4 linked regions of the Saccharomyces cerevisiae S288C genome follow. Changing the gene in region 3 together with the main gene of any one other region gives a genetic interaction. Each region holds a gene or a part of one and is shown on either strand. Other genes may lie near its edges.

Region 1 (9,011 bases), on a different chromosome or scaffold from region 3:
AAGACCAACAGGTTCCAGGAAAATACTAATTTACAAAAAATTGACAAATCAAGTGAGGGTACCTTGCTATTCATCACCGCATTCAACTAACTGGAGGTACAAAGCTGATAAAATTTCACAGAGCAAAGTCTCACTTAGCTTTTACTTTATGAAATTTGACCTTTAATAACCGAAGGTCATCGTAATACGCAACTCAGACAGTTTTAAGTGGATTTTTAGGGTCGCAATTAAAAACACTCAAAAATTAACCGGAGGTTGAGCAAGGGAAAGCAACCGTAACAGAAATCCTTTATTTCCTCCTGGAAGTGAAATAAAAACGCAGTTAACTTTAAAAAGGAAAGTTAGTTGATAATTATGTCTGGAACTTTTCATGGCGATGGGCATGCTCCCATGTCGCCCTTTGAAGATACATTTCAATTTGAAGATAATAGCAGTAATGAAGATACACATATTGCACCTACCCATTTTGATGATGGTGCAACAAGCAACAAATACAGCCGGCCACAGGTCAGCTTCAATGATGAAACACCCAAAAATAAACGTGAAGATGCAGAAGAATTCACATTTAACGATGACACAGAATATGACAATCATTCCTTTCAGCCAACACCGAAACTTAATAATGGATCTGGGACGTTTGATGATGTGGAATTAGACAATGATAGTGGTGAACCGCACACTAACTACGATGGTATGAAAAGATTCCGGATGGGTACAAAAAGGAATAAAAAAGGAAACCCAATAATGGGAAGATCTAAGACCTTGAAATGGGCTAGGAAGAACATTCCAAACCCATTTGAAGACTTTACGAAGGATGATATTGACCCTGGTGCCATAAATCGTGCGCAAGAACTAAGGACTGTGTATTACAATATGCCCTTACCAAAAGATATGATAGATGAAGAAGGCAACCCCATTATGCAGTATCCTCGTAATAAAATCAGAACTACCAAATATACCCCGTTAACATTCTTACCAAAAAACATTCTATTTCAGTTTCATAATTTCGCCAACGTTTATTTCTTAGTTTTAATAATTTTAGGTGCATTTCAAATTTTTGGTGTCACGAACCCTGGTTTAAGTGCGGTTCCGTTAGTTGTCATTGTTATAATCACTGCGATCAAGGATGCTATTGAAGACTCAAGAAGAACCGTCCTAGATTTAGAGGTGAATAATACCAAGACACATATTTTAGAAGGTGTTGAGAACGAAAATGTCTCAACCGATAATATTTCATTGTGGAGAAGGTTTAAGAAAGCAAACTCTAGACTCCTTTTCAAGTTTATACAATATTGTAAAGAACATTTAACTGAAGAGGGCAAAAAGAAGAGAATGCAGAGAAAGCGTCATGAACTAAGAGTACAAAAAACTGTTGGAACGAGTGGACCCAGATCCTCTCTAGACTCCATTGACAGTTACAGAGTATCTGCAGATTATGGCCGTCCTTCATTGGATTATGATAATTTGGAACAAGGGGCCGGTGAAGCCAATATAGTTGATAGATCCCTACCACCCAGAACTGATTGTAAATTTGCCAAGAATTATTGGAAAGGTGTCAAGGTTGGTGATATTGTTCGTATCCATAACAATGATGAAATCCCTGCTGACATTATCTTACTTTCAACGTCGGATACAGATGGTGCCTGCTACGTAGAAACTAAAAATTTGGATGGTGAAACAAACTTAAAGGTACGCCAATCCTTGAAGTGTACCAATACTATAAGAACGTCAAAAGATATTGCTAGAACAAAATTCTGGATCGAAAGTGAAGGGCCCCACTCAAATTTGTACACTTATCAAGGTAATATGAAATGGAGAAATCTTGCAGATGGCGAGATACGAAATGAGCCAATTACTATTAATAACGTTCTGCTTCGTGGTTGCACTCTTAGAAATACTAAGTGGGCAATGGGTGTTGTAATGTTTACCGGTGGTGACACAAAAATCATGTTAAACTCTGGCATTACACCCACCAAGAAGTCCAGGATTTCAAGAGAACTAAACTTCTCTGTGGTGATAAATTTCGTGCTACTTTTCATCTTATGTTTTGTTTCTGGTATTGCAAATGGTGTATATTACGACAAAAAAGGCAGATCACGGTTTTCCTATGAATTTGGAACAATTGCTGGGTCAGCGGCGACAAACGGTTTCGTCTCATTTTGGGTTGCTGTTATTCTTTACCAATCTTTAGTCCCAATCTCTTTGTACATTTCTGTGGAGATCATCAAAACTGCACAAGCGGCCTTCATTTACGGAGACGTTTTACTCTACAATGCCAAATTGGATTATCCTTGTACACCAAAATCCTGGAATATTTCTGACGATTTAGGTCAAGTGGAATATATATTTTCTGATAAAACAGGTACATTAACTCAAAATGTAATGGAGTTTAAAAAATGTACTATCAATGGTGTTTCATATGGAAGAGCTTACACCGAAGCGTTAGCGGGATTAAGAAAAAGACAAGGTATCGACGTCGAAACCGAAGGTAGGCGTGAGAAGGCCGAAATTGCCAAGGATAGGGATACAATGATCGATGAACTGAGAGCTTTATCAGGAAATTCACAATTTTATCCCGAAGAAGTTACCTTTGTATCAAAGGAGTTCGTTCGCGATTTGAAAGGGGCTAGTGGTGAAGTACAACAAAGATGCTGTGAGCACTTTATGTTAGCATTAGCTTTATGTCACTCCGTCCTTGTAGAAGCAAACCCGGACAATCCAAAAAAACTGGATTTAAAAGCTCAATCTCCAGACGAAGCAGCGTTAGTAGCCACAGCTAGAGATGTAGGATTCAGTTTTGTTGGAAAAACCAAAAAAGGGTTGATAATTGAAATGCAAGGTATTCAAAAAGAATTTGAGATTCTAAATATTTTGGAGTTTAATTCATCGAGAAAAAGAATGTCCTGTATTGTCAAAATTCCGGGTCTGAACCCAGGGGACGAGCCTAGAGCACTTTTAATTTGTAAAGGTGCAGATTCCATTATATACTCAAGATTAAGTCGCCAGAGTGGTAGCAATAGTGAAGCTATTTTGGAAAAAACTGCTTTGCATTTAGAGCAGTACGCTACTGAAGGTTTAAGAACGTTATGCATAGCTCAAAGGGAGTTAAGTTGGTCTGAATACGAAAAATGGAACGAAAAGTACGATATTGCTGCTGCATCATTAGCAAACAGAGAGGATGAATTAGAAGTTGTTGCAGATTCCATTGAACGCGAATTGATATTATTGGGCGGTACAGCTATCGAAGATCGTTTACAAGATGGTGTTCCGGATTGTATAGAGTTGCTTGCAGAGGCAGGAATTAAATTATGGGTTCTTACGGGTGATAAAGTTGAAACAGCTATAAACATTGGATTTTCTTGCAACCTTTTGAATAATGAAATGGAATTGTTAGTTATTAAAACAACTGGTGATGACGTGAAAGAATTCGGATCAGAACCAAGTGAAATTGTGGATGCTTTACTCTCCAAATACTTGAAGGAGTATTTCAACTTAACCGGTTCAGAAGAAGAGATTTTTGAAGCTAAAAAGGATCACGAATTTCCGAAGGGTAATTACGCCATCGTTATCGATGGTGATGCTTTGAAATTGGCGCTATATGGTGAAGATATAAGAAGAAAGTTTCTTTTACTCTGCAAGAATTGTAGAGCTGTCTTATGCTGTAGAGTATCTCCATCTCAAAAAGCAGCCGTTGTTAAGTTAGTCAAGGATTCTCTAGATGTCATGACACTAGCCATCGGCGATGGTTCCAACGACGTCGCCATGATTCAATCTGCGGATGTTGGTATTGGTATTGCCGGTGAAGAAGGTCGACAAGCTGTTATGTGCTCAGACTACGCCATTGGACAATTCAGATATTTGGCTAGATTGGTCCTCGTTCACGGTAGGTGGTCTTATAAGAGACTGGCAGAAATGATTCCTGAGTTTTTTTACAAAAACATGATTTTTGCTTTGGCATTGTTCTGGTATGGTATCTATAATGATTTTGATGGGTCTTACCTGTATGAATACACATACATGATGTTCTATAATTTGGCATTTACATCCCTACCAGTCATCTTCTTAGGTATTCTGGACCAGGACGTGAATGACACAATATCATTAGTGGTCCCTCAGTTATACCGTGTTGGAATTTTAAGGAAAGAATGGAACCAAAGAAAGTTCTTATGGTATATGTTGGACGGATTATATCAGTCTATTATCTGTTTTTTTTTCCCTTACTTGGTTTATCACAAAAATATGATAGTTACGAGCAATGGGTTAGGATTGGATCATCGTTATTTTGTCGGTGTTTATGTGACCACTATTGCTGTAATTTCGTGTAACACATATGTTTTATTACACCAATATAGATGGGATTGGTTTAGTGGATTATTCATTGCACTGTCTTGCCTCGTAGTTTTTGCATGGACGGGAATATGGTCTTCTGCGATAGCTAGTAGAGAATTTTTCAAAGCTGCAGCGCGTATCTATGGAGCACCTTCATTTTGGGCTGTTTTCTTTGTTGCCGTGCTGTTCTGCTTACTGCCCCGTTTCACATATGACAGTTTTCAAAAATTTTTCTACCCAACTGATGTGGAAATAGTAAGAGAGATGTGGCAACATGGCCATTTCGATCATTATCCTCCTGGTTACGATCCAACAGATCCCAACAGACCCAAGGTCACAAAAGCTGGGCAACACGGAGAGAAGATTATAGAAGGCATAGCACTTTCCGACAACTTAGGAGGATCGAACTATTCAAGGGATAGTGTTGTCACAGAGGAGATTCCAATGACTTTCATGCACGGTGAAGATGGAAGTCCTAGCGGATATCAGAAGCAAGAAACCTGGATGACTTCACCCAAGGAAACACAAGATCTTCTTCAATCGCCCCAATTTCAGCAGGCCCAAACGTTCGGAAGAGGCCCATCAACCAACGTCAGGTCATCCTTGGACCGCACAAGAGAACAGATGATCGCCACTAACCAACTAGATAACCGCTACTCTGTGGAAAGAGCGAGAACATCTCTAGATCTACCAGGCGTAACTAACGCAGCCTCCTTAATCGGAACACAACAGAACAATTAATAATGATATCCGAACCATAGCTGATGGAACTCCGCTTTTCACTGTATATATAATATTACATAATATTACTGGATAAGCCTTAGAAGCCTTAGAAGCCTTAGAAGCCTTGGAATTCATGCATACTACAGCGTTAACTCTTTCTTTTAGCAAGTTTTAGTAGCGGACGTGTGGGTTTCTTTGTTCTATAATTAACACTCCCGGTTAACCCGGATCGCTATTATTCAAGGACGCACAATGGTGGGCTAATTTTTTCTTCCGATGGAAAACTGACGCCAGCACTTTCCAGCGCTGGGAACTCTCCACTAACTGGCAAAAAAATTGATTAAGGTCATGATCAAAGGAATTTTTGAAATGTTGTAAAGTAGAGTTAAGAATTAATCAAGCCGTGATACGTATGTTTTTGACTAGGTGAGAGACTATATTTATCAAAAATAGTTTTTTATACTAACAGAAAGTTTATTATATCATAGAAATCCTAGGCCTATTGTTATTATTTGCGTGAAAAAAGGTTCATGCCTAGTTATTCAGGATATTAATCAGGCATAGTCATAGTTTTGTAATACACGTCTTTCACTCCTATTTCCGGTTAACATTCGCTAATATCCATCAAATTATTGACTTTTTTTTCAGTGGATTTGTTGTTAATAAAGGAAACAATCAGATCAGCCATTTAGGGAAGTCTTTTAAGAAAGCTCAGAAGGAGATCTAAGACAAGAAGCAAGGCAGTCTTGATTTATCGCTCAAAACCAATAGCACATGCCGAAGAATAGTCACCACCATCGTTCCAGTTCGGTTAATTCCACAAAGAGTCGTTCTACGGAATCTACGAATAAATGGAAAATTCCGCACTATTATCGCAGATCCGCTAGCGGCAGCACACAAGCTTCGCCGGACAGGAACTCCTCAACAGGCTCATGTAGCACTCCAGTATTACCTACTATGAATGTTATGTCTAGCCCGAAAAAAGTTTTGCTAGAGGATCCCAGAGACAACCATACTAAGGCGAAGAAGAGTAGTAGAAAGAAATCAGGTGAAATGGTCTTCGTCAATTATACTGTACAGGACACGGCTAACGAAAATGATACTGACTTGCAAACCCAGCCGGTTTCTGTGCCAGCACCAAAGGCGAAATTAAAGAAGAAATCCTCCAAAAGGAGAATGCTGAAGATATTTGGATCGTCAAAGAACGAACACATAGAGGACATCGTTGAAGAGCAACCAATGGTGCTTCAAATGGATTCAGAATCTAAACCCCTTTCGGGAACCCCTATCTCAGAAAGCGGAATCGACGCCTCGTCACTAACAACCAAAAGATCTTATAACTCGTTCTTAAAACACAATAGGCTAAACGGTAAAACTCCGTTCTCTGGAAACTTGTCCTTTCCATCATTAAACATGATGGGTAACACTACTGATCTGCCTATTGACAATAACGATTTTTGTTCCGAGAAAGAAGTCGTTCCGAAATCAACTCATGATCCTTCACTAGCAAAACCGCCATCAAGGTTCACTGAAAGCGAAACAAATTCTACTCCCAACTTATCAAGTATACCTCTCATGAACACAAAAAATACAAGATTGAAGTACAATAAAGTGGCGCCTCAGAGTTCAGACCGACAAAAGTCACAGGAAAGTGGGCTATATCATTCTACCGAATCATTCAACTTCAAAGATCAAAACTACAGTAACAATAAATCCTCTTTAAGTCTGAACTCCGATTTAAGTACACCCCACTTTGCAAAGCATTCACCTGATTCACCAAGAACTTCAAGATCTTTCAACTGCGGAGACTCACAAAGTAAAGTTAAATTACCGGAAGAAAATGACGCTTCTATTGCATTTAGTAAGATGTTTACTAGAAAACGAGCCAACACTGGCGGGTCCACGTGTTCGCTAGCCTCACCCACTATTGCACAAACTATTCAGCAATCAAATATAAAAGTTAATAAATTGCCAACTCAGCGAACCACTTCAGTTGGCTCATTATCATCCATGTCAAATCGTTATTCACCAATAAGAGTTGCATCGCCAGGAAGAGCAAGATCCGCAACTCGTGGGTCTTCCCTTTATAGATTATCCAGAGACCTTAATTCTTTACCAAGCGTCACTGATCTACCAGAAATGGATAGTACAACCCCAGTTAACGAAATATTCTTGGATGGCCAACCACAGCATAAAAGTGGCAGTGTCAAAGGAGGGCATAGGAAGAAACAAGAATCTATCTCTGATGCTCAAAGAATTCAACATTCTAATTCGTACATTACAACACCTTCATCTTCTCTGGTGACTCCTCCTTACTACATGACAGGTTACACATTACCAAGTTCTGCATCTGCTTCTTCAACTCCAAATGTGCTTGAAACACACAATATGAACTTTGTTCCAAGTACCAGTACTGTTACAAGTTATCGCCCATCTAGCAATTTTTCCTCATTTGACAAAGAATACAGTAACGAAAACGACGCTAGTGGGGAATTCTCTGCTTTCAATACTCCAATGGAGAATATACCGGCACTAAAAGGTATACCTAGATCCACGTTAGAAGAAAATGAAGAAGAGGATGTCCTAGTACAAGATATTCCGAATACGGCACACTTCCAAAGAAGGGATATTATGGGGATGGATACTCACAGAAAGGATGACAGTTTAGATTTTAACTCTTTGATGCCACACGGTAGTACAACTAGTAGCAGCATCGTAGATTCTGTTATGACGAACTCAATATCCACTACAACAAGCAACGCGACCGGAAACTACTTTCAAGATCAAGATAAGTATACATTGGTAAATACGGGATTGGGATTGAGTGATGCAAACCTCGATCATTTTATTAGATCTCAATGGAAACACGCTTCTCGATCAGAATCCAATAATAATACCGGAAATCGCGTTTCTTACAGTGGCTCAACACCAAACAATGTTGATACAACAAAGACTAATTTGCAAGTGTATACCGAGTTCGATTTTGAAAACCCAGAGTCGTTTTTCCATGAGCAATCGAAGCTACTAGGTGAGATGGGCCACAGCAATAACAACAGCAACAGCGCCATCAACATGAATGAACCCAAGTCTGCGGATACATACATTGGAAATATATCTCCGGATACTTCAGCAACTGTTTCATTAGGCGACCTGATGGGCTCAAACGTTTCAAACAACAGTGAAAGAAATTTTTACGATGGTCATACTTTCGTTCCACAGTATCAGGCGAACTCATCTGTGGAAAACTCAAATAATCAAAATGCAGCACCAATTGCAAATAACGACATTGATAATAATTTACAGTCTTTTTATTTTGATAATAGCAACTAAAAAAGGAATGAAAAAAAAAAAAAAAAGTTCAAAAATAGTAACAGATATCTTTCGAAAAAGTTAAAAACTGGTAAAAAATTTTGAATAGAGTATATAAAAACTAATAAATATGTTTAGTTATCATACACCATAGAATAACTACTAGAGATATTATTTCATTTTCGTTTTCATTTTTTTTATTTTTTTCTTTTCAATAAGGTAACAGAAAGTTATTTATGCATTCTTGTTCTACATGTCTTATGTATACTAATAAGCTACTACAGGTATTTTGGTAGTATGGCTTTTAAATGAGTTATTAATTCTTGATCAGTCCCTGTAGGATTATCAAACTGCCACCTAATCGCTTCGTTATTAATTTTACCCAGCCATGGACCTGGCTTCATTTGAAGTAGTTTTGCCATTTGTTTTCCGTCCACTATTGGTTTTAGTTCATGACAATTATTCAAATTATTGTCAAATATGTAAGAATAAAATTCATTGTAATTTTGGAAAAGTAATTCAATTTTTTTAGTTTCAAGCTTGGGAATCTTTAAAAATGCATCTGATAGAGATGCAAAATGTGCTGTTTCCCATTCGCCATTAAAGTTCCGTAGAAATATACCGATTTCGGATTTTTTTAGCTGGGAACG
Region 2 (7,574 bases), on a different chromosome or scaffold from region 3:
TCAATCATGGCCGGAACGTGCCCCATACGGCTTGTTTCTCTCTGGAACCACTGAGAAATAATTATCAACAACGACCACACGTCCACGCCACCATCATAGCATTTTACTCCAAAAAGCACTTCTGGGGCCTTGTAAATTCCTGTGCTTATATCCGTCACCTTGCTATCCATGGGTTCCGCACTTGTTTGTGAGTTATTTGCCATGTCATAAGAGATGCCAAAATCAATTATGTACAACTTTGGGGATACGGTGCTGGTATTGTTTGTTAGCATGATATTTTGCGGTTTGATGTCGCGGTGAATGATCTTGTTCTCATGTAAGAATGCAATCCCTTCAACCATTTGCCGGAAAAAGGACAAAGAATACCGATTGACGTCCAATTGATTAGTATATTTCTGAACGGGGGGGTCCGCAACAATTGGGATACTGGGATTTAGCAAATCGTAATAGGGATTTTTTTTTCTTCTATCTCTTTTATAGTGCATTTGCATGAACTCATAAAGGTTCATCTCTTCAAAGGGAAACAACAACAATAGGTCATTATTATCGGTAGCCTTAGACTCTAGAAGAGGTAAGATGTGCTTACATTTGTTGCCCAGTTTGTTTAATATCGATACTTCGAATTTGGCGTTATGTGGCGGGATATCGAAATCTAGTGCTAGACATTTAATGGCATATGTATCCGACCTATAAATCCTAGCAGTTCTAGTAGATTTGACCAACTGACAGTGTGTAATGTCTATACTATCCAGTTTCATTAAGATGGGCGTGAATTTTGTTGCCTCTCTTCTTCATCTGGCCTCTTTGCTTCTATGAGACTTCTGTCGTTTTCCTTTTTTTAGGATCACAAACTACTTCTATAACTTAAATAGTCAAATCACATTTTCCACTAAGATACATATTTTCTATACAGGGGGTCTTTGCAGTTATATATACTCAGTTATATACCAATCTCTTTGTCAGGAATTTGATTATCACGTTTCAACCATTCTAGTGCTAATGGATGCAAACTATTCACTTTACTAATAACAACCTTATTGTTGTCATTTTCAAAGGCCACTTGTCCATTAACTTTAGCATTGACCACTTCAGAGAACTCTACGTCTTTCTGATAATCTAAATTATCCACAATCTTACCTGATTTCATATGGTATACTTGGTTAGGCCATTTGGCCAAGCCGTCAAAAATATGTGTAGCGTAGACCACTGAGCATCTTCTGGTTTCGGTCTCCCACTTTAAAAACTCCAGAAGTCTTGCTCTGGCAATAACATCGAGATCCACAGTGACCTCATCAAGTAGTAAAACTCTCCAAGGTTTCAAGAGCCCCATGGCTAACTGAACTCTTCTCTTTTGTCCATCACTTAACCTGTGCATTCTCCAACGTACATCGATGTCCAGGATTCTAACCAATCTTTCACCTCTTTCCCTAAAATGATCGAATCCAATACTTTTTAATAGTTCCAAGACGCCGATATCCCTATTAATGATACTCATATGGCACCATTCCGTACCTAGATAAGTGGTCGTTTGGTAGTTCGTCGAATCTTCAACACTTTCATCATCGTCCACTTGATTCATAGATAATGGACTGAATGGATCAAGACCATTGACCAGGATTTTTCCATCAAGGCAAAGATGCTTACCGCTTAGTAATTTCAAAAGGGTGGATTTACCAGCACCATTGGCACCCACAACTAAAGATCTTGTATTCCATGGGATTTGAAGATTGATATCAACAACTGACGGATCGGAGCTTTCTTTGAATTTGTACGTTAGGTTACGCACCTCAATAGCAAATTGGGAAACCATCTTGAGAGTTATCTAATATCTTGATATCTTATGCAGGAGTACTGGTTTTCTCCATACTAAAAATCTCTCTTTCAGAATTTTCGTTTTTTCTTATTTGAGTCATCCTCGAAGAAATTTCCGCAGCGAATTTTAAAGAAGCACTTTATAATAATACCTTACATATGAGTTTGTTTCTATGTCATGGGTATATAAGGTATATTGTATGCTATCTAGTTGGATGCCCCAGTTTCAAAATGTCCCTAATCGGATCCACCCAGATGTGACTAACGTGGTGCAAATTTATATTTATATGTGATAAGTCTTTCAACTTTGTGGAGATCATGTAACGTAGATTGAGTACTAAACTCAACGACCTTGTAGTCCGTAATTGGTACAGGATAGCTACAATCCCGATAAGTAAAGAAATTTTGCTCCACCTGTTATATTTGGAGGGTAAAAAATGGCCAAGTCTTTGGACCAACGCCCTTGTCTTGGATCTGGCGGCGACACCATGATACTTTTCTTCCTTGTAATGCTCGTTCATCTTTGTTTGTTCGCTCAAATAGAAGATAATGGTGCTCATATCGAAGCATCCTGGCTTTCCACATGCTGTATTGAGTAATGCACTATATTTATTAAGACTCACCCGTTTCAAAGCCTTCTTGCTGGCAGTAGTCGCATCTTTTCTAGTTATTTGCAAGACTTCTTCCCAAAGCGCCTCATCATACAGTTTTTTCTGTAAAACTGTTTGTATAGCACCATGGCGCAGGTCAAAATCGTTCTCGAAGAAATCAGAATTAGCTTCTATTTGCTTCGAAATTTCAGACGCATTTTGCAATAGCAGGTTCTTGTATATGATCAAAGGTAAACGCATAGATTGCATCGATATTGTCATGTCAAATATCTGGAAAAGAATTTTATGAAGATTGTTGTCACCGCTATCTATAGGTTTCAAATTATGTGCAAAGATTGTCAATATTGACCCAATAGCGAAAAGGGGCTCATTTTCGTCAAATTTGAATAGATTATAGAATTTCATGTTTGATTCCTTTATCAATGAAGAGATTACTCTCAATTGCTCAAATGAAAAATCTAGTGAGTTCATCATGAAATCCCTCAGATATAATAGGGTAAATGCTTCGATGCAATAAAACAGCCTTTCCATATCAATTTCTTCTTGCAATGAGAGATTTTCTAGTTCCAGTCCGTTCTCTTTTGTGACATTCCAACTAAAACACATGATGAAAACAGACACAATATCATGATAACCTTGGTAATAGTTCAACGTTGGGTACTTTCTCAATACCCGAGTAATTAACTCCACCAGTAGTTTTCTCAATTGCAGTTTCAAGTTTTTGTCGACAATTCCACCAAAAGACCTTTCTGCATCCAATATCACCTGACCTTCATCTTTATGTTTTTCCACTGGTGTAATGTACTCTGTTGCATCATCAATAAGCAACTGGGACGCCAATAATTCATACCAACAATCTTTTCTTAATGAGTTGTTTACAAACCCCAGAGGCCCTAAACCTATGTACCTCAAAGCTCGGACATCTTTTTTCTCTAATAACTTTGATATAACTTTTCCTTTTTGTTCTTCTGCCTTTCCACTGTCACAACGAGAAAGTGATTCCAGATATGCGTTATAACCTCCCCTTGTCAACGCGTCTTTGTCGTGGCTACTCTGATTAGTATGAAATAATGACCTTAATGGCATCGTATTTTGTTAATTGGCTTGTTCTATGTCATTTGCTAAATTTTCTCTTTATTTCTTTACTTTGCCAATTCAAGATAATCTTCCCTTCCCAGAGAGAAAAAAGGAAAAATTTAGCTATGAAACCTCAATAAGCTTTTTAATACACCAAAGATTCAAGATAAGAGCATAGAACGAACTGTAGAATAGTCCGGATATGTTATCCAATGCCTGCCAAAATGCATTGTCACACGCTGTAGTGCTCGAATAGGTGTTGCAATCCGTCAATATACGTCTTGCTCTGTGGGTAAATGTCTCGTGCATTAAGACAGGCTAGTATAAACGAGAAGAAGTATCCTGCTTTGCAATGAAACAATAGTATCCGCTAAGAATTTAAGCAGGCCAACGTCCATACTGCTTAGGACCTGTGCCTGGCAAGTCGCAGATTGAAGTTTTTTCAACCATGTAAATTTCCTAATTGGGTAAGTACATGATGAAACACATATGAAGAAAAAAGCTTTCCTACATATTCAAGATTTTTTTCTGTGGGTGGAATACTATTTAAGGAGTGCTATTAGTATCTTATTTGACTTCAAAGCAATACGATACCTTTTCTTTTCACCTGCTCTGGCTATAATTATAATTGGTTACTTAAAAATGCACCGTTAAGAACCATATCCAAGAATCAAAAATGTCTGATGCGGCTCCTTCATTGAGCAATCTATTTTATGATCCAACGTATAATCCTGGTCAAAGCACCATTAACTACACTTCCATATATGGGAATGGATCTACCATCACTTTCGATGAGTTGCAAGGTTTAGTTAACAGTACTGTTACTCAGGCCATTATGTTTGGTGTCAGATGTGGTGCAGCTGCTTTGACTTTGATTGTCATGTGGATGACATCGAGAAGCAGAAAAACGCCGATTTTCATTATCAACCAAGTTTCATTGTTTTTAATCATTTTGCATTCTGCACTCTATTTTAAATATTTACTGTCTAATTACTCTTCAGTGACTTACGCTCTCACCGGATTTCCTCAGTTCATCAGTAGAGGTGACGTTCATGTTTATGGTGCTACAAATATAATTCAAGTCCTTCTTGTGGCTTCTATTGAGACTTCACTGGTGTTTCAGATAAAAGTTATTTTCACAGGCGACAACTTCAAAAGGATAGGTTTGATGCTGACGTCGATATCTTTCACTTTAGGGATTGCTACAGTTACCATGTATTTTGTAAGCGCTGTTAAAGGTATGATTGTGACTTATAATGATGTTAGTGCCACCCAAGATAAATACTTCAATGCATCCACAATTTTACTTGCATCCTCAATAAACTTTATGTCATTTGTCCTGGTAGTTAAATTGATTTTAGCTATTAGATCAAGAAGATTCCTTGGTCTCAAGCAGTTCGATAGTTTCCATATTTTACTCATAATGTCATGTCAATCTTTGTTGGTTCCATCGATAATATTCATCCTCGCATACAGTTTGAAACCAAACCAGGGAACAGATGTCTTGACTACTGTTGCAACATTACTTGCTGTATTGTCTTTACCATTATCATCAATGTGGGCCACGGCTGCTAATAATGCATCCAAAACAAACACAATTACTTCAGACTTTACAACATCCACAGATAGGTTTTATCCAGGCACGCTGTCTAGCTTTCAAACTGATAGTATCAACAACGATGCTAAAAGCAGTCTCAGAAGTAGATTATATGACCTATATCCTAGAAGGAAGGAAACAACATCGGATAAACATTCGGAAAGAACTTTTGTTTCTGAGACTGCAGATGATATAGAGAAAAATCAGTTTTATCAGTTGCCCACACCTACGAGTTCAAAAAATACTAGGATAGGACCGTTTGCTGATGCAAGTTACAAAGAGGGAGAAGTTGAACCCGTCGACATGTACACTCCCGATACGGCAGCTGATGAGGAAGCCAGAAAGTTCTGGACTGAAGATAATAATAATTTATGATCAAAATTTACGGCTTTGAAAAAGTAATTTCGTGACCTTCGGTATAAGGTTACTACTAGATTCAGGTGCTCATCAGATGCACCACATTCTCTATAAAAAAAAATGGTATCTTTCTTATTTGATAATATTTAAACTCCTTTACATAATAAACATCTCGTAAGTAGTGGTAGAAACCACCTTTGCTTTTACGAGTTCAAGCTTTTTTCTTGCCATGATCTAGAACTCTCAGGCAATATATACAGTTAATCTTTTTTTACTGGGTTGTAGTTCTAATGTATTGTTTCGAAAAATAGCAACCAGGCACATATTATGTTCACCAAGTGGTGTATCCAGTACAGATTTCTTATTCCATAAATGAAACTGAAAACGGTTAAGTACACAAATAAAATGATGGTAACTTTACCATCCCACGTGTCTAAAGGTACGCTGTTTGGCATTTTGAAAATAGAATTATTTCCAACCAAAAAAATAATTGGTGCCACTGCTAGTATATTGTGATGGGATCTAAATGAAGTTTCCCATTTGATGGCAACATTATGCAGGAAAACAATAATGATAGGGATGTTAATGGCACTAACAAATAATAAAAGCAGAAGCAACGTCATATTATAATTTAGTAAGTTCAATTTCTGCTCGTTGTTTGATAGTTTCAACAGCGCTACTCTAATGCAGGTAGCAATTTGGATTACTAATGAGATAACAAACGCCATCTGGTATGGTATGTGAAAAAATACCAACAGTAATAAAAGCACAGATGCCATTAATCTTCCCTTACCATACGCTTTATGTTCAATAGTATCAAAAGCCTCTTTATCTTCAGTGTTTTTCTTTGATAACTTCCGTTGAAGGAATATTACTAAAATTTCCAAGGATCCAAAAATCTTAGAAACTAGTGCTAGTAATCCAACTGTCATAACCCCAAAGAGAATTCCAATAGTTGACATAAACCAATCTCTGATCCCCAAATAATAAAAATTTGCATGCATGTTTCTCTCGGATAGCAGAAATGGATAATTTAAACCGACAGGATCCAATAAATAAAGTATTCGTTGTACCAACTTATTATTAACCACAGGCGAAGCTAAGAACAGCGTAAAAAACATTAATATTCCGTGCTTTCTTAAAATATATCCCAAAGTGCTATCAAAGGAAGGAAACTCAGATGTCTTGTTGTACCAGTAGAACTGGTATGACAGTACGAGTGCTATAAACGCGACTGGAAAAGATGCTAGTGCTAATCTGTACCTGATAAACAGCATTTTCAAAGTTAAAGACCAATTAATAGTCATTTTAGCTTCTAAGGACATTCCGGGTGGAATAAAAAAACTTAATTGTAGCGATCTCGGTTCGCTTTCATTTAATGGGATAAACGGTGCTACATTATGCATATTTATATCGAGACTTTTGTTTATAATATTTAGATGCCATTTAGACTCGAAAGGTTCGTAAACCCATTGCCTTATGAAAGGCTGAAACAATGTCTCTTCGGAAGCAATACCTTCGTTGCTTGCCTCAATCTTGGTTTCTAATTTGTACGATAATAAAGAATCCCACAAATTACTGAAACTTATAACCTGCTCGATGTCTTTGCCATCCAAGTGTAGTTGTTCTCCAAAGAGCAATATTTGAGAAGGTGTAGTATTGACTATTTGTACATTGGAGACGTTGCGCAGTAATGCCAAAAGAAACCCCTGATTGTCCTCCATGCCTTCTTGTTCTGAAAATTCACCGTAAGTGGGTTTGCTTATCATCAAGTAGTCGTACTTCTGTAGTATATTCTTGCCAACACTAACGGCTTTAAACGGATTTTTTGCTTCTCCAAAAGAAGAATCAGCTGCGAACTGAGTATCTTTTGAAGACCTGGGCACTGTTAGAATACTATCAACAGCTGTTATACAGCTTAGATTCACCCTGGACTCTGTACAGAAATAGATCATAGGCATATCGAGACTAGTTAATAATGTGAAATGCAGGTGTTCAGTGGAGGAGATGTTACTCGGAATATTTATTTTTGTATAATTGTTGTGCCACTTTTCCAGGTTAAACATTTCAAAATCTAGGACATCGTTCATTTCCAAAGTAGCGTAATCAGAAAAGAAGTT
Region 3 (6,677 bases):
TGAAGAAAATTGAAGAGGAACAGGAAATTGTTTTGGATAACAGTAATTTCACAAAAGAAAAAGTAAAACAACTCAGGAAGAGTGCTTTTGAGACGACAGAAATAGAACCGAGATCATACAAAACACTTCGAGGAGAACCTATTTCTTACAGTACCAACAGAAGACATACGGATTCTTCTCCTTTAACGCTCTTAAGCTCGTCGACAAACTTCGACCCTGTTCACTCAACAAACGTTATGACAGATGATCAACTTAAGTGCTTGCCAAAAAGCCTGGGCGACGTATATTTGTCAAGCAGCGATATTGCTGAGCTGTTTCAAGAATTTGCGACAAAATATCATCAATTTTTACCCGTCGTTGACCTTTCGAAAGGAGCAGAGCGAATTTATCACTTATCTCCTTGCTTATTCTGGGTCATCCTGCTCATTGGTTTAAGGCGGAAATTTGGGGCTACAGACTTAATGACTCGATTATCAGTGCTAGTAAAGTCAGTTTTATCAGAAATCACAATATCTCCAATAATTCGATATACTCCATCAGATAAGGACGAACCCGTTCTAAATGTAGCATCTGTATATTCCGTGCAAGCATTTCTTTTATACACGTTCTGGCCTCCCTTAACCTCTTCATTAAGCGCCGACACTTCGTGGAATACCATAGGAACAGCGATGTTCCAAGCGCTTCGGGTAGGACTAAATTGTGCAGGTTTTTCAAAAGAGTATGCTTCGGCAAATTCAGAATTAGTTAACGAGCAAATACGAACTTGGATTTGCTGCAATGTTGTATCTCAAACAGTTGCATCATCATTTGGTTTCCCAGCTTATGTTTCATTTGATTATTTAGTAATCAGCTCTATTAGAGTACCAAATTCAAAAAGCCAAGTAGATATACCCAATGAACTAAGACAAATGGCTCAAATTGCTAGATTTGAGAACCAAATCGTAAACACAATGAACTCCACCCCGGCGAGTGTTACTGGGATGGTAAGTCAGGAAGAGAAGCAGCCCTTGTTACACGTTCTTAATCAACAACTAAGTCAATTGGAGATTAGTCTTGAAGAAAATAACCTAGATGATATCCGAAAATTTTTATTACTAGTGGCCAAGGTTCACTTATTAACCTATTACTTCACTGATGTTACCTCCCAAAGTGCTGGAAAATCAAATGGTAATATTTATGAGGGATCATATTCCATTATGGAACTCGATACAAGTTTTGAAACGAAACGTGGATTGGTGAAAGTTTATAATGCCGCCGTAAACTTTCTTATACATGCCAATAGTATGTGGGAACATGATCCTACCATTATTAAGTACTTTCCTGGTTTGTTTGTCTTGAATATATGGCAATCTGCCTGTATTATTAGTAAACTCATACATTCATCACTTCATTCAATGCTAGATGTTAACTCAGGCAAAAAAGCTTATAACAACGCAATTTCATTGACGTTTAATGCCTCAGTTTTAAAATATGATATGGCGTACAGATCATCCGGAATAATGCGAAGCATATGGAGTTTATTTGCTAATATGTATGATGCCTGGAAAAACGACCAAAAGGAAGGTGGAGGTAGACTAAATAATGATTTCAATTTAGGCATCACCATAAAATCTAGGATGTCAGTAAACGTTTTTTTTGACTGCTTATATATTCTAAAAGAGAAATGTGGTATGGCCAAATTGGAGAGAGAGACCAAGGTTTCTACAGCTTACAATGTTGATGAAGAGGAAGAGGAAGATGAAGATGAGGAGGGAGAAGAAGAAGAAGAAGAAGAAGAACTAAGTAGTAAAGTTCCAGAAAATATGGATAGCCAGCAACTAAGGACAAGGAAATTCACCAATGTAAGGCATCCAGAAAAGAAAGCAAGAAAAATAATTGAAACAATTCCGCTAGACCCAAATCCAATAAATGCAGGCTCTACCAGCAGTGGAAGCTCATTAACGACCCCAAATAGTCAAGTAGCGAACACTATATCATATAGAGGAATCCTCAATAAAATGTCACCTAGGGAACAACTGAATCATGCAAATTTAGATTCCAGTGTTTCTACAGACATCAAGGACACTGAAGCTGTCAATGAACCTCTGCCAATAGGGAGGAATGCTGAACATCCGGCAAATCAACCGCCTCTTTCAATAACACAAATGCAAGAAAACACACTACCTGCGACACAAGCCAACTCTTCTCTATTAGAAACGTATCCCATTGTTCAATCAAACCCCGTTACAACTACAATCAAAGAATCACCCAATTCCATCATGGCAGGTTGGGATAACTGGGAATCTGATATGGTTTGGAGGGATGTTGATATTTTAATGAATGAATTTGCGTTCAATCCCAAGGTTTAAAGTCCTTTTCTTTTTTTGCGTAATGTTTACTTACCCTCGAAAAAATGTTATGTAATGACTGCGGTGCTACAGGAGAGGTAAATGATTTTCTATATACGTTTATATTTCTTCCATTTACGCACACTATTTTTTGTCCTTGAATAATTTAACTCAAAAAAAGTGTAAAAAACTGTGTCATTAGGTATATGTTCAATACTTTTGATCTTCAAATGACGTAAAAAAAAGTTTTCAGACGGACTTAAACCGCCAACCAGCCTTGGCCACAGGTGTATGATGCGAAGATTCGTAAGCGCTCACGTTAGTCACATCTCAGGATTGGAAATTATACTAGATAATAAATGGCTTTATTTAATCATATTATAGTTGATATAACAAATCACACCTCCGCTTAATTTATACGTAATAGTATTTACAGTCCTTATGGGTATCAAGACATATTAGGTTAGGAGAACTAAAGAAAAAAAAAAGGACTGTTTGTGCAATTGTACCTGAAGATGAGTAAGACTCTCAATGAAATTAGCACTTTTCTTGGATTTCTATTAAAGCGCTAGCATCTTTGTATACGTCTGACTGGGTAAATTTTTGAAAGGAATCGTTATTCATCAGTCTATACATTTCATTGCTAACGATCTCGAAGAGGGGATATAATTTCCTGAGGACCTTCAAAGTTGCTGGAAATGATTCAACCGATTTGGTATCATTTTGGGTGTTGTCCATGCCATAACGAACAATTGTATGTGAATTTTCTACTGATGCATTAGGCGAATGCGTTTCTGCCAGAGTTAACGGGGCAGGTTTATATTCCTTTAACTGATGTTTGAATCCTTGCTTCTTAAATGAACAGTTTTCATTTGAAAGATTTTTTGAAGGTTTTAGACTCACTTCAGGTGGTTCACCTAACGTGTCAGCCTCCGTTGAGCTAATTGATGAAGCTGCTGATTCCGCGGATGCAGGTGATGGATCGTATAGATTAGTAGGAAAGTGTTCCGATAATGGAGAATGAGGGTGCAACATGATGTCAGAAATATTCTGACGCAAGTTATGATGGATATTTAATTGATATGGTGATCCTATCATGATATAGGACGAATAAATGTGATATGCCATTTCAAGGCACTCATTGGCCTGTTTCATTAAAGCTGAATCAATCGTTTTTACGATATTGTTTTTTGAAGTACTGGTATTAGATTTTTTATCACAATGCTTAGAATCTATCAATTTTTTCAGAATTGTCATTTTCTTCAAAAACCTCTTAATCTCAATGAAGACATCCAAATTTTCTACACAAAGTTCCTTTTCTAAATGGCGCCTGAATAAATATCTCATACCTGGATCAGTTAGCACATAGTCCAGTTTATTTAAATTACTCGAAGAGATAAGCATGTCTTGAGAAAAACCTTCACTATCATCCAATGTCTTTTTTTCATCACGAACAGTCATATGACCCCTTAATGTGAAATCTAGGTCTATGGTGCTACCATTTGGTGCTCTAATATTATTGCTCTTACAACCTGTCCAAGAAACCAAATCCCAACCACGCTTGGACAAGGTAAAAAAAGAGGACCTGCTAATTTGAAACTTTTTCTTGTCAGTGCGTGATGGTTGTAAAAGAACTGGTACAATCAACCCCGTTTTTAAAAATAACGCTGCCAACGAGACCGCTTCTTTAACATGCATAATATCAGTACAGTCCATTATCCACTGCCATATAGCCTTTGTTGTAAAGGTGTACTTAATCACGATTTTTTTGGAAGTGCCAAACGTCTTATTTTCAAACAACCTAATACCTGCATTCGAAACGTAGTATTGCGTGTGCGACTCAGAATCTGGATTTGTAAAGAATCGATGAGCTAATGGCGATACCCTTTCTAAGTCATTTATATCGATGTTTCCAATCTGAGCTTGCCATCCTTGTTCTGGCTTAGATTTCTCAAAAGTAAATGTATCATCATTATTAGTGTATTCCAACAACGAAGATAGGCAAGGTAATGGGTCATCTGCGTTTGTTGGAGACCAAACATTTGGCTTAGCGCCCATCATTTTAATGAAAAGAATATGGATCAAATAATCACTATGGATGATTGAATCCGTGACAGAGCTTCTCTCAAAAGTGAAAAGTTTCATGGAGTTAAACGATGACAAAAGAATATCAGGCATTGTTTTCAACCCAATATCTCTAACATACTTTTGTAAAACAGCAACTCCCTTAGGTGTTGGTTGGAAAAGAACTTTCTCTTTTGGCTCGCCACGAGTTCTGTCCTGCGGTGTATGTAGTAGCTTAGAAGACATAAATAATGTAAGAAGGTGGCGCGCCAAACTAGGTTTAATATTATATGAAACGTTAATACAAGTTGTGTTCATATCCACTTTTAGTTCCAATTGTCCCATTGCTTTAATAGCTTCCTGATATGTAAAAGTGAAGTGGAAATGTTTAGTGAATGCAGTTAATAAGAAAGACTTAGTGTCACTACTATGTTTTTTCTCTTTCAAATCCAAACAAATTAGAAAAATGGAATATACTGTCTTTAAATCATTGGTAAAGATCAGTCCATTCGGCGTTCTGCTGAAATTTTTGGAAGATAATTCATGCAACGTCCTATTTTTATCCACCATCTTACAACTCTATCTTTAATTACCAAATTGAACCTATAACGCCTCAGATAGTGCGTGCAAAACCTAGAAGGAACGTACGACAGTAACACCTCCAAAGTTAAAGGACGATGAGAAGTAAAGACAGAGCTGGGATTATGATTTCATTCACCGGTATAAATATAACAGGACAGACAACAATTCTAACGCACCAGCAACCAAATCCAAGTCCTAGTCAAAAAAAAAGCAGTATTGGGATCATTGTTTCAAAATTGAATATTATGAAACGTTTAAAACCCAGACATCCCATAATTATTGAAGATGATTCAGTTAAAACTTCGCATACTTCATGGCTTCTTCATTAATAGAGACAACGGAGGTGGTTCAACTTGAACTTTTCCAAAGGAGTTGCCATCTCTTTGTATTGTTCGAACTCTTTCAAAAGACCTTGGTAATTTATCTATCATGTACTTTTCGAGTTAACTTAAGTGGAAGACGCTGGTTTTTCTTAAAGTTATAAGCACTATGTGGGTAATTTTTTATTGTCAGTCTGTTTCTGATCTTATCCAACAATTCATCAAAAGTTCTACTCTGGACTATAATCTCAGTGTAAGCGTTAAACAAATAGGTAAAAGGGTGCGGAAAGACCTTCAAAAATTCGAAAAAGATTGCTAAGTTGGATTCTTTATTATTCAACTGGCATGTGACAAGCGAGTTGTAAGACTGTAATAACTTGCTTCCGGAATCAAAGGTAAACTTTATCATTTTTTTCAAATATTCTTGTTCTTGAGCGCATGTTAATATCGGCATCTCAAACACAGTATATTTTGTGTTGAGTTTCTTTTTGAGGGATGTCGATAGGAGAGACGAAATGCTAACGTTATTTGAATAAATGAGGACCTTAAATGCAATGTTATTACTTTTTTCAAGTACCGATAAAACATTGATAAATTCGGTAAGCTTCGAAGGTTCTATTATAGTTGAAGTAGATAATTTATCTAATTGTTCGAATTTGAAGTAGACAATATGATCGATACTTTCGTCATTATTTATTTTCCTCATAACCATCATCATTAGGTCAGACGTGTGATTTGAAGGTTTTTCACTAGCTTCGAAATCTAGTTGTCCGCTATATGAAGCCTGCCCCATTGACTCGATACATTCTTTTGATTTGCTTGATTGAATACCCTCTTTCATTAAGTAGTCATTCATTTCTATAATTACGACATTTATATCGACTAAAGACAGTGTTTCTGAAACTGCACGGTCGATACCAGCATATTGGTGTATATGTTCAACTTTGTCGAAGAAAACGATACAATTTTTCATACTCCTAAGATTTTTTGAAAGAAACTTACTTAAGCTCGGAACGTAGCTTATTGACAAATAATTGGTGCCTAGCTCTTGCAAGGCCATTGATTTGAACTTCTGGTAGAAAACATGGTCCACTCGCTCCTTAACTGGACTCGGCTTACACACCTTTGGGCTGCTAACACTTTTTTTAATTGGAACAAGGTTCAACTTTCTCAGTACAGTAAAATTTTTTTGCTCCAAATCATCGCTTATTGCTTTCACAATCTTGTCACTGTCAACAACCTTTTTCGATCTCCTTATAGGTGCAAAATCGGAATCTACATGCTCCATTGTCTCTATATACTAACCACGTTCGTATTTATATCTATATTCGTACATATATTGTTCTAACTTATTGAAATTGATGGTTAAGAAGATCCCTTCTGT
Region 4 (7,543 bases), on a different chromosome or scaffold from region 3:
CCATAAACACGTTGGGCGAAGTAATTCAAGAACTGCTATCCGATGCTATTGCAAAAAGTAATCAAGACCACAAGGAAAAAATTCGTATGCTTTTAGACATTTGGGACAGGTCCGGCTTGTTTCAAAAGAGTTACTTGAACGCCATCAGGTCAAAATGCTTTGCTATGGACATATCGAATAACACCGCGAACACCGCTTCACAACAACTATCACTGGATCCCAAGCAGAGGTCGAAACAAATCTTGTCAAATCTAAAGAAAAGTCCTCCTTTAAACTTGAACATAAGTCTTCCAACTGATTTGACTTCCACAGATCCAGCCAAACAGCAAGCAGCTCTTTTCCAAGTAATAGCGGCTCTGCAGAAACATTTTAAAACTTTGCCTTCACATACATCCGTGGGTACAGTCGCACCTCCCCAAGCCCATACAATTACCGAATATGGTAGCAGACGTGAACGTGAACGTGAAAGAGAAAGATATAACTCAAGAAGGAATAGATCAAGATCTCCTCCGGCACCATTTTCTCAGCCATCGACAGGCAGGAAGGACCGCTATCCATCTGTGGCCCAGGACCAATACAGCATAGGCGCCCCCAATACGACATTTGGCACAAACAATCACCACTTATACCCCGATGAGCTTAATGTTTCCAATAATCCTCATTATAGACCAAAACCAGTAAGTTACGACTCTACATTGCCACCAGATCATATTAAAGTCTACAGCCGTACTCTTTTCATCGGTGGGGTACCACTAAACATGAAGGAATGGGACCTTGCTAACGTTTTAAAACCTTTTGCTGAAGTACAAAGCGTCATTCTGAATAACTCCAGAAAACACGCTTTTGTGAAAGTTTATTCAAGACATGAGGCCGAAAATGTTTTGCAAAACTTCAATAAAGATGGAGCCCTGCCATTGAGAACTAGGTGGGGAGTTGGTTTTGGTCCAAGAGATTGTTGTGACTATCAACACGGTTACAGTATTATTCCTATGCACAGGCTCACGGACGCTGATAAAAAATGGTCAGTAAGTGCGCAATGGGGTGGCACTTCTGGTCAACCTCTCGTTACCGGTATTGTTTTCGAAGAACCGGATATTATCGTTGGTGAAGGTGTTTCTTCCAAGGCAATATCTCAAAAGATGCCTACTGATTCTGGCAGAAATGGGCCACGTTCTGGTAAACCTAACAAATCTGGTAGCATATCGTCGATATCTCCAGTACCCTACGGCAATGCACCATTGGCATCTCCTCCACCACAGCAATATGTGCAACCTATGATGCAGCAACCGTATGGTTATGCCCCCAACCAACCATTACCTTCTCAGGGACCTGCCGCAGCGGCTCCCCCTGTACCTCAGCAACAATTTGACCCCACTGCTCAATTGAATTCTTTGATGAATATGCTTAACCAACAGCAGCAGCAACAACAACAAAGCTAAGATCTTTACTCCACCCTTTATTTGCTCATAGTACATAAAACTAATCTACCTCTATATATAATTTCTGTTTTTTCCTATGTTCCTTTTTTTTTTTTGTTAAATGGACATCCTTATGTATTCACATAACTACTGTGTTTCAAATGTAGCATTATCCTATTCTTTATTCTCTTTTTTTACCGTATTCCTGGTTTTTTTTCAAGGTTTAGATGAAAATGAAAATGAAAAAAAAAAAAGGAAAGAAAACAGTTAAACAATCAATAAACTTTATATTCTACGTAATCATAAGCGCTTATCCAGTACCATGAAGGTAAATTTAATGTTGAAAAGAGGGCTTGCTACTGCAACTGCAACTGCCAGTTCCGCTCCCCCCAAGATTAAAGTCGGAGTACTACTGTCAAGAATCCCTATAATTAAATCAGAATTAAATGAACTAGAGAAAAAATACTATGAGTACCAATCAGAACTAGAAAAGAGACTAATGTGGACGTTTCCGGCATATTTTTATTTCAAAAAGGGTACTGTAGCAGAACACAAATTTCTATCCCTGCAGAAAGGACCTATCTCCAAAAAAAATGGCATTTGGTTTCCTAGAGGCATACCGGACATTAAACATGGCAGAGAAAGAAGTACTAAGCAAGAAGTTAAACTTTCTGATGACAGTACAGTAGCATTTAGCAACAATCAAAAAGAGCAAAGCAAAGACGATGTTAATAGGCCCGTGATTCCCAACGACAGGATAACGGAAGCAGATAGGTCAAATGATATGAAGAGCCTTGAAAGACAATTGAGCAGGACCTTATATCTTTTGGTTAAGGATAAAAGCGGTACTTGGAAATTCCCTAACTTCGATCTTTCTGATGAATCTAAGCCGTTACACGTACACGCAGAGAACGAATTGAAATTGTTGAGCGGTGATCAGATATACACTTGGTCTGTTTCTGCTACGCCCATAGGTGTTTTGCAGGACGAGAGAAATAGGACTGCTGAGTTTATTGTGAAGTCACACATTTTGGCTGGAAAATTTGATTTGGTGGCGTCGAAAAATGATGCATTCGAGGATTTTGCTTGGCTGACAAAAGGTGAGATCAGTGAATATGTACCAAAAGATTACTTTAACAAAACAGAATTTCTTTTAGCGGATAATTGAAATCACAAAAACAGATGCGTTTTTAACGTTACATATACAAAATATATGCGTGCATATATATTTATATATTAGGTTGTCGTCAATCACATGTAAATATCATTAAATGAAAGAAAAAGAATGTGCATTTTCTACCGCATTCCTTCCATCAGGTAACTTATTTTTTTGAGTTGAATCTACTCGGCCTATCCTTGCCAATCCTATCAGTATTCTTACTCGTCCTTTTATTGTGGTTGTTGCCTCCACCGTTGTTTTTCCTACGTTTTTCAATCATCGTGTTATCGAACATGTCTTTCCAATAAGTTATTAGATTTTTTTCGTTTTTAACAAAATGATTTGATAGTGTGTCATTCTTGCCTGACATGATATACCATGATTTATCAGGATAAAACTTCAAAACGGGATCGGTTTTGTAATTGGCTAAAGATTTAGAGTGGAGTAAATTACCACTATTAAGATCATAGAAATATACCATTTCATCTTCTGTACAAATTCCTAGTATTTTACCCAAATGACAGACGTCTAGTGTTGTTACCGCAGAGTTCAAATCGTTAATTATTAATTCACAACATAGTGACTTCATATTCCATACGTAGCAATTCCCATCGATACTCCCAGTAATGAAGTTTCTTCCCCATGGGTCCATTTTGATCTCGGTTATAGGACCAGTATGTGCTTTAATTTTGGTACAAACCTCCAATATGCCATGTTTTGCTTTTAAAATGGCCAAATAACCACTCTTAAAGCCAATAAATATATGACTTCCACCATTGCTCCATGCTAAGGAATACACAACGTCATTATCCTCTTGGCTTATATCGCTGATGTTCAAAGAACAGACAGAGCTGTGATCCTTTTTCACATCAAACAAGTAGATTTTCTCAGATTTGGTGGCAGCTAATAACCAGTTTCCTAATGGATCATAAAGACATGTGTTGACCTTAGTCTTGCTTCCCAATGACAAGGTCCTTAATTTGGATGCCGTTAGCGATTTTTCGTTGATTAAGAGTAAGGATATCTCTGATGAATTGCTCACGACAGCTATTTGATTTAAAGAAGTAGGGTTCCAGGACAAATCAGTAGCCAATTTATCGGAACCACAACAGTCTGGAATATAAACTTCTACAGATTTGTCAAAACTTGCATCTTTAATAAACCAAACGGTCAATGACCCATCCATTCTACTATACGCCATCGATGAACCTGATACGTGAAATTTTAGGGAAAGAATTTCATTTGGAGTTATGGGAGTCGAGGTGAATCTTGAATGAGAACGCGAACTGACATGAATGAACCTTTTATCTTCGATATGACTTGTATTACCTTTAGAAAACGTACTTTGTAGATATTTTGAAGTCACTGAGGCAGCCACTTCAGAAGTTATGGTCTTTTGATTAAGAATATCAACAGCTCCAATTGTCGACATGCCGAATAGTTCACTTGATCCTTTTTATGTATGTAGCTGTACACCAATCAAACCTCAATGAGTGAAGCTTTGTACGTAGAAATACTGAAGAGATATATATTTAACATAATATCTTATGTACGTAACCTGTGGTGCAAGGCTTTTAATTTTCTTAATTCTACTATGAATAATGATAAGTTAGGCAAGACACCTATACATGGTTAGTGGCGTCGTTGGGGTGTAAAAATGAATTGTCCATGCTCGGTTACTGTTTTATACAACGGTACAATAATTTAACGTTTTGTTTCTTCCGTCATCATATCCAGTGGGAAAGGTGTATTTCTAGAAAATAATGTTAACCTTCAAGGTTATGCTTTGCGATATTTGACACTTTCCAAAGAAACATGGGCACTGTTAATATACCTTCAAGTCTACATACATATATATAAACTGCATTTGGCTATCTATCGAACGTAAGCAGGAAAAAAATGGCAATTCGATTGAAAATCCAAAACCCTTTATGATACTGAAGACAACTCCAGTAATTGAATAGGTATGGAATAGTAATTCTCTGAAAACTCCCTTGAAAATTGGGAGGCAATGATACTCCTATTTGTGCTGCATCTCAATTGTTGTGGTAAATAGCGTCCTAAACTTTTTTTTTTTCCTATATATAGATGGCGTCGCTAAAATGGGAAGCTTTGAAAAATGTAGCGATGAGATCACATTAAAAGGGTACTGTATGTGCTCTCGAGACCTTAGCACAAATTTTTGACCTGCGTAGACAGAGATGGTTGGGCCTGGTCTGGGAATTAATCGAGTGAGGAGAAAAGGTGTTTATTCCACAAAAAAGGGAAGTGGTGATAACTTACTGTTAATGAAAAGACAAGGAAAACATGACATACATGATAGAGAAAGTGACGACTTATCAGGCCATGATGCCTTTTCCCCCTCAAAAAAGCGCGGCAAAATAGACAGTATCACAGAAGATGAGATTGAAGTAAAAAAGCTTTCCACTGTGGCCACATTTGATAAACTTTCGAGGTCATTTCCAAATTCAGAAGTACAAGCCGCAAAGAATGCAGCACTCAGAGGAAAAGAAAAAGAAGAAGAGAAGGTCGTTTCTATCCCACTAATACAGAATTTGAAAAATGAAGATATCGAGTCTATCAAATGCAGGAACAATAATCTTTTAGACGGTAAAAAATTACTCTTGGAGGCAGAACTATCGGCAGTTGAAGATAACCAAATCTTCTCCTCTTCATTTCCCGAGGATAAAAAGCTATCGTTACAAAGTTGTTTGAGTTCTAAAGAGCAGATAATCAAAAAACTTCAAGTAAGGGAAGAATACATGAGCAAGTTCAAACTACCACCCATGTTGTTTTCGGATGAGCTACTCACTGAAGTAGAACCCTTCATGCCCATTGTAATGGACATATTGGAGGGAAAGATATCGTCTGTATACTATTTTGAAGCAAAAAATGCATTCAAAAACTCACAAAAGGCTTACTTGTCCGTAGATGAGTTTAGAAAGTTGAATTTAAACAAATTTACTGCTGGATTTTACGGCCTGAAAAGGCAATTGAGGGTTGGCGAAGAAATCGCTAAGAGATATAAAAGGGCACTCACGCACAATCAGCCCGCAACCTTAAAATGGTGGGGGATAACAGATTTCTGTAACTACGTTTTGGCTCCAGAAACCCTTACGTCTTTTTGTATTTACCAATTAAATCTCTCGAATAAATCTTGCTCGTCGAAGACACCGAATAAACATCCAAAGCAACAATTAAACGAGAAGGAATATTACTACGATCCCGAATTAAGGATGCTAGCCTATGACTTACTCGAGGATACAGTTGAATACGGTATCATAGTAGCCGACTCTGATCCAATTGAGCAATGGGAAGCTGCCATAGAGGAAGACCGTCTGCGGGAACTGAAACTCGATGTTCATAACTATTCCAGCAGGAGATGGCGACTGGATACGCACGATTAAACAGGTAGTATATTGCCGTTTGTTGCCTTTATGGCTTAGGGATTTGAGCTTTATAGTAAGAACTGCTGTGGTGTCATGATAGACGAAATGCTGAAAAAATTTTCTTTTCGTTCCTTTTCTCTTTTGGCAAGAGTTGTAATAAGGTCATCGATGGATTAGAAATGCTCTTTCTGCTTTGGGGGCACTTGAGGATTGTATTATTTTAAGGCTTTCCCTTCAGAAATCAGGAAAAAAGAAAAGAATACGAAAAAGATGTCTCAAAAAGCTTGTTACGTTTGCGGTAAGATTGGCCATTTGGCAGAAGACTGTGATTCTGAAAGACTATGTTACAACTGTAACAAACCCGGTCACGTTCAAACGGATTGTACCATGCCAAGAACAGTTGAATTCAAGCAATGTTACAATTGTGGTGAAACCGGTCACGTTAGAAGTGAATGTACTGTGCAACGTTGTTTCAACTGTAACCAAACCGGCCACATCTCCAGAGAATGCCCTGAACCAAAGAAGACCAGCAGATTCTCCAAAGTTTCATGTTATAAATGTGGTGGTCCAAACCATATGGCTAAGGACTGTATGAAAGAGGACGGAATTAGTGGATTGAAATGTTACACTTGTGGTCAAGCTGGCCACATGTCCAGGGACTGTCAAAATGACAGGCTTTGTTACAACTGTAACGAAACTGGCCATATTTCCAAGGATTGTCCAAAGGCTTAGGTGAAACATCCACTGAAAAAAACAAAGGAACAATCACTTATCATGCTATATTTCATAGAGGGGAAAAAAGAAGCACAAGTAAACTGAATATTTAAGTTTATTTTCTATATCTTTTCTATACTTCATTTCACTTGTTTCCTCCCTTGGTTATTTTTAACGATTCTTTATTATGAAACAGGAAAAAAAATTATTACAAAACAGAATTACATATTTAATCTATATAACTAACCTTTATTCCAAACCTTTATAAATAGCATCTGCTAATTTAATGCTCTTCGAACAATTTTTAACGTCATGGACCCTAACCATGTCGCTGCCGAAACCAATACACGACGCTACCACCGCTCCAGTAGCAAAGTCTCTTTGCTTCGCATCCACATCTTTTGTGATATGTCCAATGAATTTTTTGCGCGATGGACCCAATAAAACGGGCATATTTCTGAGGTTAACATACACTTGCGAATTGTTTGAGTTCATGGTGAATGAGTAGTTCTTTAAAATGGGGATATGTCTAATAATTTGTAAGTTTTGCTTCCAGGTCTTAGCAAAACCAAGTCCAGGGTCGATTAGAATTTGCCAGCGCTTTACTCCATTATCAATCGCTTTGATATACCTTTCGCCAATTTCTTGACCAACATTCCTGATTAACACTGTTTTGTCTTTCAAGTCGTCTAGCTGCTGAATGTCGGTATTATGAACAAATTCTTGCTGAATAGAATCACCCAATGCAAAATTTTCGTAATGCGCCAGCCTATTCATCGTTGAAATATCACCACGTGTGTGTGATAAAATATAACAAATTTCTGGGTTCTCTGCAATTACGGCAAACATGTTGCTGTCAAATA

What was found.
Region 1: mutations in SST2 (region 3) and BCK2 are lethal when combined (synthetic lethality), as found in Saccharomyces cerevisiae (2 studies listed by BioGRID, with this or other methods).
Region 2: of SST2 (region 3) and STE2, a mutation in one rescues a mutant of the other (synthetic rescue), as found in Saccharomyces cerevisiae (3 studies listed by BioGRID).
Region 4: mutations in SST2 (region 3) and TEX1 together harm fitness more than expected from each alone (negative genetic interaction), as found in Saccharomyces cerevisiae (2 studies listed by BioGRID).

Annotation. Positions count from the first base shown.
Region 1 is NC_001137.3:512,390-521,400, forward strand, and holds BCK2 (Bck2p), read left to right. Parts: upstream 1-5,826; coding exon 5,827-8,382; downstream 8,383-9,011. Other genes in the region: aminophospholipid-translocating P4-type ATPase DNF1, read left to right, coding at 355-5,070; CCA1 (tRNA adenylyltransferase), read right to left, coding at 8,640-9,011. UniProt on the Saccharomyces cerevisiae protein: Dosage dependent suppressor of PKC1 deletion and MPK1 deletion. Involved in cell lysis.
Region 2 is NC_001138.5:78,404-85,977, forward strand, and holds STE2 (alpha-factor pheromone receptor STE2), read left to right. Parts: upstream 1-4,176; coding exon 4,177-5,472; downstream 5,473-7,574. Other genes in the region: cyclin-dependent protein kinase-activating kinase CAK1, read right to left, coding at 1-758; putative ATP-binding cassette family ATPase CAF16, read right to left, coding at 941-1,810; GTPase-activating protein GYP8, read right to left, coding at 2,016-3,509; BST1 (Bst1p), read right to left, coding at 5,742-7,574. UniProt on the Saccharomyces cerevisiae protein: Fungal class D1 G-protein-coupled receptor that acts as an alpha-factor pheromone receptor performing pheromone-dependent signal transduction involved in cellular conjugation, mating projection assembly, and in cell fusion.
Region 3 is NC_001144.5:1,036,406-1,043,082, forward strand, and holds SST2 (GTPase-activating protein SST2), read right to left. Parts: upstream 4,962-6,677; coding exon 2,865-4,961; downstream 1-2,864. Other genes in the region: leucine-responsive transcriptional regulator LEU3, read left to right, coding at 1-2,348; RIF2 (Rif2p), read right to left, coding at 5,394-6,581. UniProt on the Saccharomyces cerevisiae protein: Desensitization to alpha-factor pheromone. Is involved in regulating the signaling pathway for responding to mating pheromone.
Region 4 is NC_001146.8:166,484-174,026, reverse strand, and holds TEX1 (Tex1p), read right to left. Parts: upstream 4,010-7,543; coding exon 2,741-4,009; downstream 1-2,740. Other genes in the region: Nrd1 complex RNA-binding subunit, read left to right, coding at 1-1,439; mitochondrial 54S ribosomal protein mL46 MRPL17, read left to right, coding at 1,741-2,586; RTC4 (Rtc4p), read left to right, coding at 4,779-5,984; mRNA-binding translational activator GIS2, read left to right, coding at 6,237-6,698; trifunctional dihydropteroate synthetase/dihydrohydroxymethylpterin pyrophosphokinase/dihydroneopterin aldolase FOL1, read right to left, coding at 6,930-7,543. UniProt on the Saccharomyces cerevisiae protein: Component of the TREX complex, which operates in coupling transcription elongation to mRNA export.